Linked DNA regions of Cricetulus griseus. The protein of the gene in region 1 interacts with the protein of each later gene in a pairwise test. Links are inferred from orthologs where the notes say so. Each region holds a gene or a part of one and is shown in the gene's direction. Other genes may lie near its edges. The genes, in order: Lrrc7, Homez and Nqo2.

Evidence for each region.
Region 2: the proteins of Lrrc7 (region 1) and Homez interact in a two-hybrid assay, tested with the Homo sapiens proteins (2 studies listed by BioGRID). The two-hybrid records come from large-scale screens. The link is inferred for Cricetulus griseus from reciprocal best matches to the Homo sapiens genes LRRC7 and HOMEZ.
Region 3: the proteins of Lrrc7 (region 1) and Nqo2 interact in a two-hybrid assay, tested with the Homo sapiens proteins (2 studies listed by BioGRID). The two-hybrid records come from large-scale screens. The link is inferred for Cricetulus griseus from reciprocal best matches to the Homo sapiens genes LRRC7 and NQO2.

The regions. Positions count from the first base shown.
Region 1 is NW_023276806.1:1,472,555-1,476,207, forward strand, and holds part of Lrrc7 (leucine-rich repeat-containing protein 7), read left to right. Parts: intron 1-2,020; coding exon 2,021-2,145; intron 2,146-3,653.
Region 2 is NW_023276807.1:210,051,093-210,054,401, reverse strand, and holds the end of Homez (homeobox and leucine zipper protein Homez), read left to right. Parts: intron 1-16; coding exon 17-1,683; 3' UTR 1,684-2,804; downstream 2,805-3,309. UniProt on the Homo sapiens protein: May function as a transcriptional regulator.
Region 3 is NC_048596.1:253,798,872-253,803,202, forward strand, and holds the start of Nqo2 (ribosyldihydronicotinamide dehydrogenase [quinone]), read left to right. Parts: upstream 1-1,392; 5' UTR 1,393-1,545; intron 1,546-1,668; exon of another isoform or gene 1,669-1,794; intron 1,795-4,331. UniProt on the Homo sapiens protein: The enzyme apparently serves as a quinone reductase in connection with conjugation reactions of hydroquinones involved in detoxification pathways as well as in biosynthetic processes such as the vitamin K-dependent gamma-carboxylation of glutamate residues in prothrombin synthesis.

The DNA.
Region 1 (3,653 bases):
CACCTGCATGTGCACACACATGTACCCAAATGCACATGAACACACAGGTGCACACATGCACACACACACACACACACTCACACACACACGCACGCACGCACATACACACACTTACACACACTTACACACACTCACACAGTCACACACTCACACGCACACACACACCACCAAAGAGAAAAGTCTTCCTCTTTATGGCGCACACAATAATAATGGAAATACTCTAGAGTGACTTCTCTAAGGGTCAGGCTGCAGGGTATGGGACCTGGTCATTAAATGTACCCAGCAACTGGCTGCAAGAGGAGAGGGCCTTCTCTTGTGCACACATATTGCACAGAGTATTTTAAAGATCAGGACAACAATCTTTGACCCCTACATGAGATTCCCTAAGCAGTATGAGAAGCATGATTAAAAAACAGTTTTTAAAAACCTAAACCTGTTAGAAGTCTTCTAGCCTGTGAGTGATCGTACTATTATAGAAAGTTTTAAGAAGGGGTTGCCTTTTCCTATTTGAGTAGCACTGGCTGGTGTGTGTTCTCTGTAGCTATGCAGAATCAGGATGGTTTCTTATGACAATGAACCCACTTTGATGCAGCCTCAGATAAACGCACGCTGTCTGAGATCAGCTTGAGAAATGGACCATTTGCTTGTGTGTTCCTCATTTTCAAGAATAATAATAAATGGCTTTAGTCTTTGACTTCCAGATGTAAATGAATCACTGGGGAATGTGTAAGGATGCATTTATTCAAATTTTGGCTTGCAGAAATATAAAAGGGGAAGATTTTTTTGAAGTATAATGTTCACATCTGAATAAATTGATCTTTTGATTTTATGAAAGAAAAACCACCACATTTTTGTAGCACAAAAAAAAACAAGTACGGACTGTTCTATTAACCTGAATTTGTTTTTTCTTCTTCGAAACATCCCTGGTCTTCAAAATAATGCAAAGAAAAGATAAGAAGTAACCAGATCCACAGGCTATCCCTGAGATCGATCTAGTGTGTCACCTAAGCCCCTGGTCAGGTCCCCAGTGTGAAGTCAGCAGTCATGTGACCCAAGTTGCAAAAGCATTTGCCTTTACTGTCTTGAATTTTCTGTTTGTTTTTCTCTTGAGGACTGAAAGTTTGGTGCAATAATTGAAAAATAATTCTTGGACTTCAGTCAATCAACTTCTGTCTGTTGGAAAAGAAAATAACAAACGAATTTTAAGAATTCTGTAAGACAGAGAAATTTGTGACAAAGGAAAATTCTTTGGAAAATGAGTTAGCTTCAACTAAGCACTTGTTACCGGGTTTCATGCAATTTTCATGCAATTATGTTACAAAGCAGATTTTACCATTAGACCACATTTTTACGTAAATAGTGATTTATAAACCATCTTCCCCGCTTATCTGAGGCACATTTAAATGAATTAAAACCATAGTGCTAAAACCGAATTCTCCATGTGTTCTCTACCTTGAAAATGAGGTTACTCCAGTCACATACACCTCCCACATACACACAAAGAACCAGCAAGAACATCAGCGTATTGGGCACTTTGCTAAAAAGTCACTGCTGTGTGTGATCTTACTTTGTTACAATGTGACACAGGCTCTGTAGTCGCTCCCACATGGTGTAGGGCCTGGAACCTGAGAGACCTGGGACAGAATCTTCATGAGAAAGATGATGCTAACGTGATTCCTCCACTGCTCTGAGGAATAACGAGACTGGAATGCTTCACCCAATCTCCATGCTGCTGCTGTTAGCCCAGGGGAACCCATTCCTATACTAGGAAAATTCCCAAACCTCATGACTAACAGCAAAACACTCAAGACATAAGAAACACCAAAAGGAATGTTCTGCTTCCCACTTCCTGTCCTTCCCGCGCTCTCCTTCGTCTTCCCCAATATCCTTTCCCAGTCCTTTTAAATGTATTGACTGTATTGATTAGTGGTGCTTGCTGTCTCTTTTTGCATAGTCTATTAAACTTTACTAAATACATCATGTATATTAGAGAAAAGCATTAATACTTTGGACTCCATAGATTTCCAGTCAGACAGCGACAGCTTCAACCCCACGCTGTGGGAAGAGCAGAGACAGCAGCGCATGACTGTTGCCTTTGAATTTGAGGATAAAAAAGAAGATGACGAAAGTGCTGGGAAAGTTAAGGTGAACTTTTGGCCTTTGTTTCTCTTGTTGTTCTGTCTGTCCGCTGTTATTATTCAGACAGAGGAGGGATCCACTATGTGACCTCTCTGGAAGGTCACAGTCATTTTCTATTCTTGTGAAGAGGCCCCAGTCTAGAGGGCCGGTGTTTGGGCAGCATTGGTGTGATTCAGAAAGAGAGGAATGTCCCGGTTCTGACTGAGCAAGTCTGATTTGCACTCCCTTCCATTCCCCCCCTCCCATAACAATGTGCGAGAGATTCAAGCTGAAAGTGGGAGGAAAGTCTAGGTGACTCTCATTCATCTGTAACATTCTACAATAATCCTTTTGGTCACTGGGCCGGGCCCCATGCAGACAGTACCAGCCAAAATATACATTTGTGGAAAACAAGCTGATTGGCGTGCGATAGTGATGTTACATCTCTAAATCTTCTACATGGCTGGTGTATTTGAAAAGAACTTTTGTTTCTTTATGTTTGAGTTTTAAAAGGAGGTGAGTGTCCAACCACAAGTGAAGATTTTTTTAGGCAAAATAATTCGTTTATTTTAACTGTATATTTTTAAGAAATCTTTTACTGTGACTAACCTGAACGAAGAAACAAGGCTAAACATTTAAGCCTGTATATTTCAGTTATTTAAATTTTTCAAATATGAGAATTGGCTGAGATATCATTAACAGTTTTTCATGTTATATCTTGGTGGCATCTTGAATCTCTCATTAATTTTTATATTATTTGTACAATTTTTCAAATAATACTAACAGCTTTCACTTGTAGTGACTAATGACCTAAGTAACTTACTATGCATCTTATTAATAAATCAAGATTGTGTGATGTGTTCCCTGTCCCCCACCTTACCACATTTTCTAAATGTCATTTCTTCAGCTGTCATTCATGATGACTGTGTCATTACGGAAAACTCAAAATGGAGTCATAAATCCAAAATGACATGCATTCTTTAAAAACTTTCTATTGAAGAAACATTTATGGATGATTGAATATTGCTGTCTTATGACCAAAGAGACATGGTTTAAAACTTGCGAATTCTTAGAAAATAATTACGCTAAATTCAGTACAAACCTTTAAAGCAATTCGGTTCCAGTTTCCGTCTTCAAGGATTTTGTGTTAAATCAAGATCCAGTGGGTGATGCATTCTGCTTTGGACTCTTGATTCATTTTTATATTTCATTGAATTGTCAAAATAACTACAGACTCCCTCTTAAAAAATCCATAGCCAAGGATAAAAAGGAAATACATTTAATATGCTCCATGGATGTGTTGATAGAATCATGAAATACAGAAGCGGAAGCAATAGACCAGAAACCCTGTTTGTGTGCTCTGTGATGAGTATGTCTGTGCTCATAAAGGGTTCCATGTGCTTTAGAATGATTCGATTTTTTCTCTGCATTTATTAACATTCACTCTATTTGTATTTTGGTAAAAACAATATGTTTTTCCAAAATCTCAAACTACTTGGCTTTGACTAATTTGGCTGTTCCCGATGCCATTGGCT
Region 2 (3,309 bases), on another chromosome or scaffold:
GTTTTTCTTCTTACAGCTATCTCTGAAGGGCATAAGTCAGAGCACACCATGCCTCCTAATAAAGATGCCAGCAGTCTTAACAGCTCGGCAGCAGGGCTCATCTGCCTCCCTCCAATCTCTGAGGAGCTACAGCTTGTGTGGACTCAAGCAGCGCAAACCAGTGAGCTGGATGGAAATGAACACCTGCTACAAACCTTCAGCTACTTCCCCTATCCAAGCCTGGCAGATATTGCTCTCCTCTGCCTGAGATATGGGCTGCAGATGGAGAAGGTAAAGACCTGGTTCATGGCCCAACGGCTCCGCTGTGGCATTAGCTGGTCATCTGAAGAGATAGAAGAGACTCGAGCCCGAGTGGTGTACCACCGAGATCAGCTCCATTTCAAGTCTCTCCTCTCTTTCACAAATCACGCAGTGTGGCCCCCACCGGAGATGCCTCCAGTGCCCTCTCCAGAGCAGGTTGCTCTTGGACTGTGTCCTCTGGCTCTTGGTGAGCCCACCCAGATGAAAGGATTGAAGGTTGAGCCTGAGGAACCCTCTCAGGTACCACAGCTGCCACAGAGTCACCAGAAAGTGAAGGAACCTCTGATGACAGGCAGCAGAGCGTTACCCCACCAATCAGGTTTTTGTCAGGATCTTCAGATCAGTGGACTCTCTAAGGAGCAGGAAAGGGGTTCTGACCAGTCATGTGGTGTAGGGACTGCTTCCTGGAATCACTCCACAGCTGTTCATCAGCCACATGCTGAGGATAAGCCCCCACTGATCTCATTACTTGTCAGTAGTTGTAAGGAGGAATCAGCACCTAGTGGGACACCTCCATCTCCTCCTTTCCAGGTATTGGCTAATGGAACTACTGCCACCCCTAAACCCCTCCAGCCTTTGGGCTATATTCCACAGTCGTTCTCGCCTAGTGAGCAGGCACTGTCTCCACAAGTGGAACCACCCTGGCCCCAAAGGCTACGGAATAACTCAGTAGCAAATCGGGTTGGCCCCACAGAATACCTTTCACCAGATATGCAACACCAGCGAAAGACTAAGCGTAAAACCAAAGAACAGCTGGCCATCCTCAAATCCTTTTTTCTACAGTGCCAATGGGCACGACGAGAAGATTACCATAAATTAGAACAGATAACTGGTTTACCTCGCCCTGAGATCATTCAATGGTTTGGTGACACCCGATATGCCTTGAAGCATGGACAACTGAAATGGTTTCGGGACAATGCAGTACTTGGTGCCCCTACTTTTCAAGATCCAGCCATTCCCACACCATCAACTCATTCCTTGAAAGAATGGGTCAAGACACCGCCTCTGCCAGCCCCACCACCCCTACCAGACATACAACCTTTAACACCACCTCTGCCAGCCCTACCGCTCCCACCAGACATAAAACCTTTAGAGAGGTACTGGGCAACCCACCAGCAGCTGCAGGAAGCTGATATTCTTAAACTGAGTCAGGCATCAAGACTTAGCACTCAGCAAGTGCTGGATTGGTTTGACTCTCGATTGTCTGAGCCAGCGGAGGTGGTAGTTTGCCTAGATGAAGAGGAGGAGGAAGATGAAGAACTGCCAGAAGATGGTGAGGAAGAGGAGGAGGAGGAAGATGACGATGATGATGATGATGCCATACAGGACTGGGGGGTTGAGGAAGAAAAGGGTCTATTACCGAAAGATGAACCACCCTATTGACCGTTTAAACCTTTTTGAAACACACTGTCACAAAGAACTAAAAAGCTTTGTGTTTTTCAGAGTGGACAAGGCAGGATAAGTAATTTAACAGTAGACTGGGGAGGTAACCACACTAAGGTATTAGATCAACATAAACCAAATTCTCCAGACTCACTGTGGAGAGGGCCAGGGATCTGGGCAAACAATTGCTAGACAGGGCTCTTGCTTTCCTCTTACTCTTTTCCTTTAGTACGCTTAAGCCTTGTCTCAGCCCCCCATCTACATGAGACCTGGGATGGAGAGAAGTATTGTGATCCAAATCCTGCCGTCTGTCAGAGAATACAAGGCTGCTTTGTGCCCATTCCTGACTTTCTGAGCACATGCGCATGCATATTGCAGCTAGGATCTGCAGTGTCCCGGTTTTGTCATAGATATTTGTCATACCAGTTTGATGTTTTTACTCGTTTTGCCACTTGATTCATGCAGAAGTAGATACCTCTTGCTTCTAATACTGGGACCAATCTGCCTTCTACCATTTTATTTCTAAGAAATCTCCTCTTTGCTCACTATTGTCTCAGGGTAAATCTTTACACAGAGTCTGTGAAAAATTTTAAGAATCAGATTGTGAATGTTAGTCTGTATATTTATTGAATGTGGGGATTAGGGGATTTGCCCTTTAAAGTATGATGAGCTAGGCATGGTGCCTGTGATTACAACACTTAGCAGGTGGAGACAGGAAGATCAAGGAGTTCAAGGCCAGCCTTGACTACATAAGAGTCTGTCTTGAAACATAATGGCACAGTGTAACAGAGAAGGATAGTGGGGATGTTACAGGTTTGGATTTACAACCTGACACCACTTTCTGTCCAGACTGATATTGTTGGTTTTTTTTATTTTTTTTTTTATTTTTTTTCCTTTTTTGCTACTGGTTCAGTTTGTATCTAACAAGAAATGTTTCCCTCTTTATAGGATCTGTCTTGGTGACAGAAGGACCATGGTCTTCTAACTCAATGATGTTCTAGAATAAATGTCAACATTGGGGATCACTGGTAACAGTGGGTTAGTCGCCTGAAAATAGAGTGCAAGCACTAAATTGCTAAAATAATAAAAAAGGCCAAAAATAAAATTGTTTATTTTCTCCACTTTGCCTCTCCTATGGTTTAAAATCTTATATAATCTCTCTCTCTCTCTCTCTCTCTCTCTCTCTCTCTCTCTCTCTCTGTGTGTGTGTGTGTGTGTGTGTGTGTGTGTGTGTGTGTGTGTGTGTGTGTGTATGTGTGTATGTGTATGTGTGATTTTTCAAGACAGGGTTTCTCTGTGTATCTTTGGCTGTCCTGAAACTCACTCTGTAGACCATGCTGGCTTCAAACTCACATAGATTTGCCGGCCTCTGCCTTCTGAGTGCTGGGATTAAAGGCCTGTGCCACCATGCCTGGCTTTTTTTTTTTTTTTTTTTTTTTTTTTTTTTTTTTGATAGGCTTGCCTTGAGTTATGGCTGTAGTTGAACTTCTGCTCCTCCTGCTTCCACCTTCCAAGAGCTCTGCCAATGGGCTATATCTATACCAAGCCTGAGTCTAGGGGTTTGATGTAGTCAAGTCCATTAACAATCTAATTTAAGGGCTGGGTATGTAACTCAGCAATAGACCT
Region 3 (4,331 bases), on another chromosome or scaffold:
TCCCTGCTTTTTTTTTTCCAGCTATCTATCACAGAAAAGAAACTAGAACACCAAGAGGATTAGAGGAAGGAAGAATGGTGAGTTATTATTTAATGGTATAGGACTCTGAGATAACTCAAGTAAGGTAGAAAGAGTTCCATTTTGCTGATGGTTTCAGAGGTTTTAGCTCAAGATTAGCTGTCTCCCTTTGCTTTCTGACCTGTGGAAAGATTAATTATCTTGGCAGAGAGTGCATGTGGAGGAGCCTGATTCATCTCATAGAGGCACAGGACCAAAGAGAGAGGAGACAGTGCCAGAGTACCCACTTCCCTTCAGTGGCATATCCCCAATGAGCCAACTTCTTCCCACAGGTACCTCCTACAGCTTCCAGCACCTCCAAAAGTGCCATGGCCTGGAGAACAAACCCTCAGCGTGTGGGCCTTTAGGGACCTACAAGATCCAAGCTATGGAATGGAAAAAGAGTTTTTGTTTGGAGTTGTGCAAAAGTTTTGGAAATCGGTAATAATAGTAACTAAAGATTGTGAATGTAACTAAAGCCACTTAATTTGACACATAACACACACACACACACACACACACACACACATACCTAACAAAACCTCGACCCCAAAATAGGTGAAAATTTTTTTCTGTGTTGTTATTTTTGGGGTTTTGTTTGTTTTGTTTTTGGAGACAAGGTCTCCTTAGTACAGGCTGGTCTTGAACTTATGGTCCTCCTGTTTCAGCCTCCTCTGTACTTGGGATAACAGGCTAACACCATCATATGCAGTTTCTCATCTATTTGAAAGGGGCCATTGCAGGACACTAGGAATTAAAGCAAGGAGCTTGGTAAAGGTTCTAGAGGAAGCCAAAATCACAGACTGGCTGCCAGCAGCACAAAAACAGCCTGGAAACAGACAAACCTAAAGTGCCCAGCAGCTCCCTTTGTCAGTGTCGCCAACCACAGCACTAGTTCCAAAACTTTCCATCTTCTAAGGGGAGGTCCTTGGCCTTGTAACATTTAATTTTAACCATATTTTATTTACACACACACACACACACACACACACACACACACACACACACACACACATCCTTTTCATAGTTTCCCCCACTGATGACATCTGGCAAGTGTCTTACCATGGAGTGACACTGATAGGGAAGCAAAGAATTCATCCCTCAACACAAAGATTGTTTTTATAGTCAGCCATTTCCCCTCCTAAATCTTGGCAACTACTACTCTGATTCCCCATCCCTGTAATTTGCTCTTTCGGGAAACAGAATCATGAAGTTCATAACTTTTGGGGATTGGCTGCTCTTACTGTGGGATACTCCCAGCCAACTGGAGCTGAGTGTATTCACAACTCATTCCTTTTTTGATTGCCTAGTAGTACACTGTGGGCGTTTTGTTTTGTTTTACCCGGATATATGTAGTGGCTGTGTATGATTATGTACAAGGCAGGAGAGCGCCTCTACCCTTCTTCCAGAACCGGCTTCCTGCCAGTCTCCAATCAGCTAGGAGCCAAACTGGTACTGCCCACAACCAATGGAGTCCAGCGCTAGCAGGTAACAGGTCAGGGACAGGGAGACTTGGGGAGGCAAAATAGAAGTCCACTGATCCCGCTTGTGGGTGGGCAATTATTGCCCATAGGCGCGGGAGGACAGTGTGAGGGCGGGTGAGGGGCGGAGCCCAGCGGGGGAAGCCGCCCTGCGTCCCAGTGCGCAGCCGTAGTGCCTGCCGGCTAGCTTTAGGCGTTCGTGCCCTGAAAAGCGGAGGTGTCTCATTGTGCGCTACGCTCCCTCCTGGAGGCCGAGGTGAGAGTCAGTTTACTGCTTCCCAAGGGCTAGCACCTCCTTCCTGCAAGCGACTTTAGGGATTGGGGGAATGGGACGGAAGATACCCCTTCTGGTTTTTAGCTTGCGAATTAGACCGTGAACTCATGTCCCTGAGGTTCCCTGTACCTTGAGCCTTTCTTAAAGTATCAGTAGACCGTACCACATTTGACCCATGTCCTGCTTAACAGAACGGTTGAGTTTGTCAGCCCACTTCTGGATAAAGAACAGCTGCGGGTTTGCTATTTATTACCAAAGGGTAAAAGTCAAAGCGGAGCCGAGAACCGAGTTTGTTCCCACTGCCTTCCCTTAACCCTGGCGCCTTCAAGCAGCTGCGGCTCACTCTACCTTCAAAGACTCTGGCTCAAAAGAAATATACCTTCTGGAACTACTAATGTGAAATTAGCAGTTTCGGTAACCTCTTATCTCTGGAAATCTCGGAGAGATACAGAAAACTGAACGCGTATGGATCACAGAAACCTCTAGTAGAGTCAAGTACAATAGGTATGGGGGGGTTGAGAAGATAACTTAAGTGAGCACAGAAGGCATGCGGAGATGATATCGCTGCAGGATGACATGCTAACTTAGAATGACCGCCATAGAGTCTGCCTGTGTGGAAGAACGGGGCATAGTAAATGATACAGTGAAAATATCAAAATAGCTGCTGGGTGTTTATCTCTAAATATCAGAGCTCATTTCATGTGGCTTGTCCCTTAACAACCACAGCCTCCCACCAAAGACAAAACACCTTGGATAAGTTGTAGTTTCCACCTAAGGAGAGCTATCGATCATCTCTGTGCCTGAGGGTGAACAGCCCTGTCAGGAGACTTTCTGTTCCTTCCCATTCCTTATTCTAGGAGAGTTGAGTAAGAGGAAATTCAACTCTGATGCACACACCGCCCTCCATTTACTGTAAGTGTGTAGACTGGGCTGAGTGGTACAGCTAGGGGTGGTGAAGCGAGGGGAGGCTGAAGAGACGGTATACTGTGCCTAGGGAGCTGCAGTGAAGCCCCAACTAAGGTGGCTCTGGTCCCTCATTTGGGGAATCTCAGGATGAATTTTGTTCATCTGCAGTGGCCCTGGGAACCTCTGAAAAAGTGGACCAGGCCATGGGGCTTTCTGCCTAAGGTCTTCTGTTATTCTTAGGAAAAATCTTTACCCTGCCCTATTTACTTGGTTATTCCCCATCCTGCTTCTTGGCTGCAACCCTCACTTCAAACCACAGCTCAGCTAAATAACCTTTCTTGATGTTTCTGGAACTCTCCAATTCAGCTCCCATTGGGTCCTTACTTGATTGCCTGCCTGCCTGCTTGGACTCTCTCTTGATCCAGGTTTCTGCATGGCTGGCTCAATATCACCATTTATTCACCGTCTCTCTTCTGACACCCCAGAGGAAATGTGGGCTTGTGGTGTCTATGTAATGTTTAGTGACTTTGAGATACGAGAAAGTCTCTGATCAGTGCTCTGCCAGAGATGAAGCTTTTGATCTGCTCTCTAAACTTGCAGTGTAAACCTCGGGAGGAACTTTGACCTCCTTCTCTAACCCTTCTAGTCTTAAGGCATATCCATGTCACAAGGCTCTAACCCTTCTAGTCTTAAGGCATATCCATGTCACAAGGCATTAAAAGGAGGGGAACCCTTAGCACCTTCAGCTCACAAGATTTTAACTTGCAAATAGCATTCATCAGAATAGCATTCATCAGAACAGAAAATACTTGGCACTGACTTCTCAGGAGGTCAAGGTCAATTCTGACTTTTAAAAGGTGAGACTGTACCCTGGGGAAGATTTCACCCAGCATGGAGCTTTCCACCTGTTGACCCAGCATAACCCTTGGTATCTTCCAAAATCCCTCAGCACCTAGCACACCACCACTATCATCAAATGAGGGTTTAAGACAAAAAACTCATCTCCATTTTCCTCAAAGGTTATGCTTGAAAAAAAATAAATCCACTTTCTCCCACCAGTCTTATAGAGCAGCATGTAATATGAGCATGGTGATACTGATTGGGTGTGTATTTAATGTGACAAACATCTTTCATCGAAATAAAGTGTTTCTTCAGGGTATCACTACTGCCACGGTCACTAGTACTTTCCACTGTCTGGGCTCTGTGCTTGCTTTGCCTACTTGTTGACTGTTCACTGTCTTTCCACTACCAAAGAGTATATGTAAAGCTCATTTCTCATTTGTGATGCTCACTTCTGTGTCTCAGCACCTCATTCAGTATCACACCAGATAGCTGCTTCACCATCCGGTTATTGTGAATAAAGCTTCGATGGACATGCAGGAACAAGCGGGTCTGTCTCAAAATCCTGTGTTTCAATACCTTTCAAGTAGTGAGTAGTCAGGGATGATCCTGAACTCCTAATCTAGGATTACTGGCATATTCTACCACACCCCAAAACCTGTTCAGATCCTACTTTGATTCTTTTGAGCAGATAATCAGAAGTGAAACGAACATAGTGATTTCCTATTTAGTTTTTAAGGAGCCTCTTAGTTGCCTTTCATAGAAGCTGCACC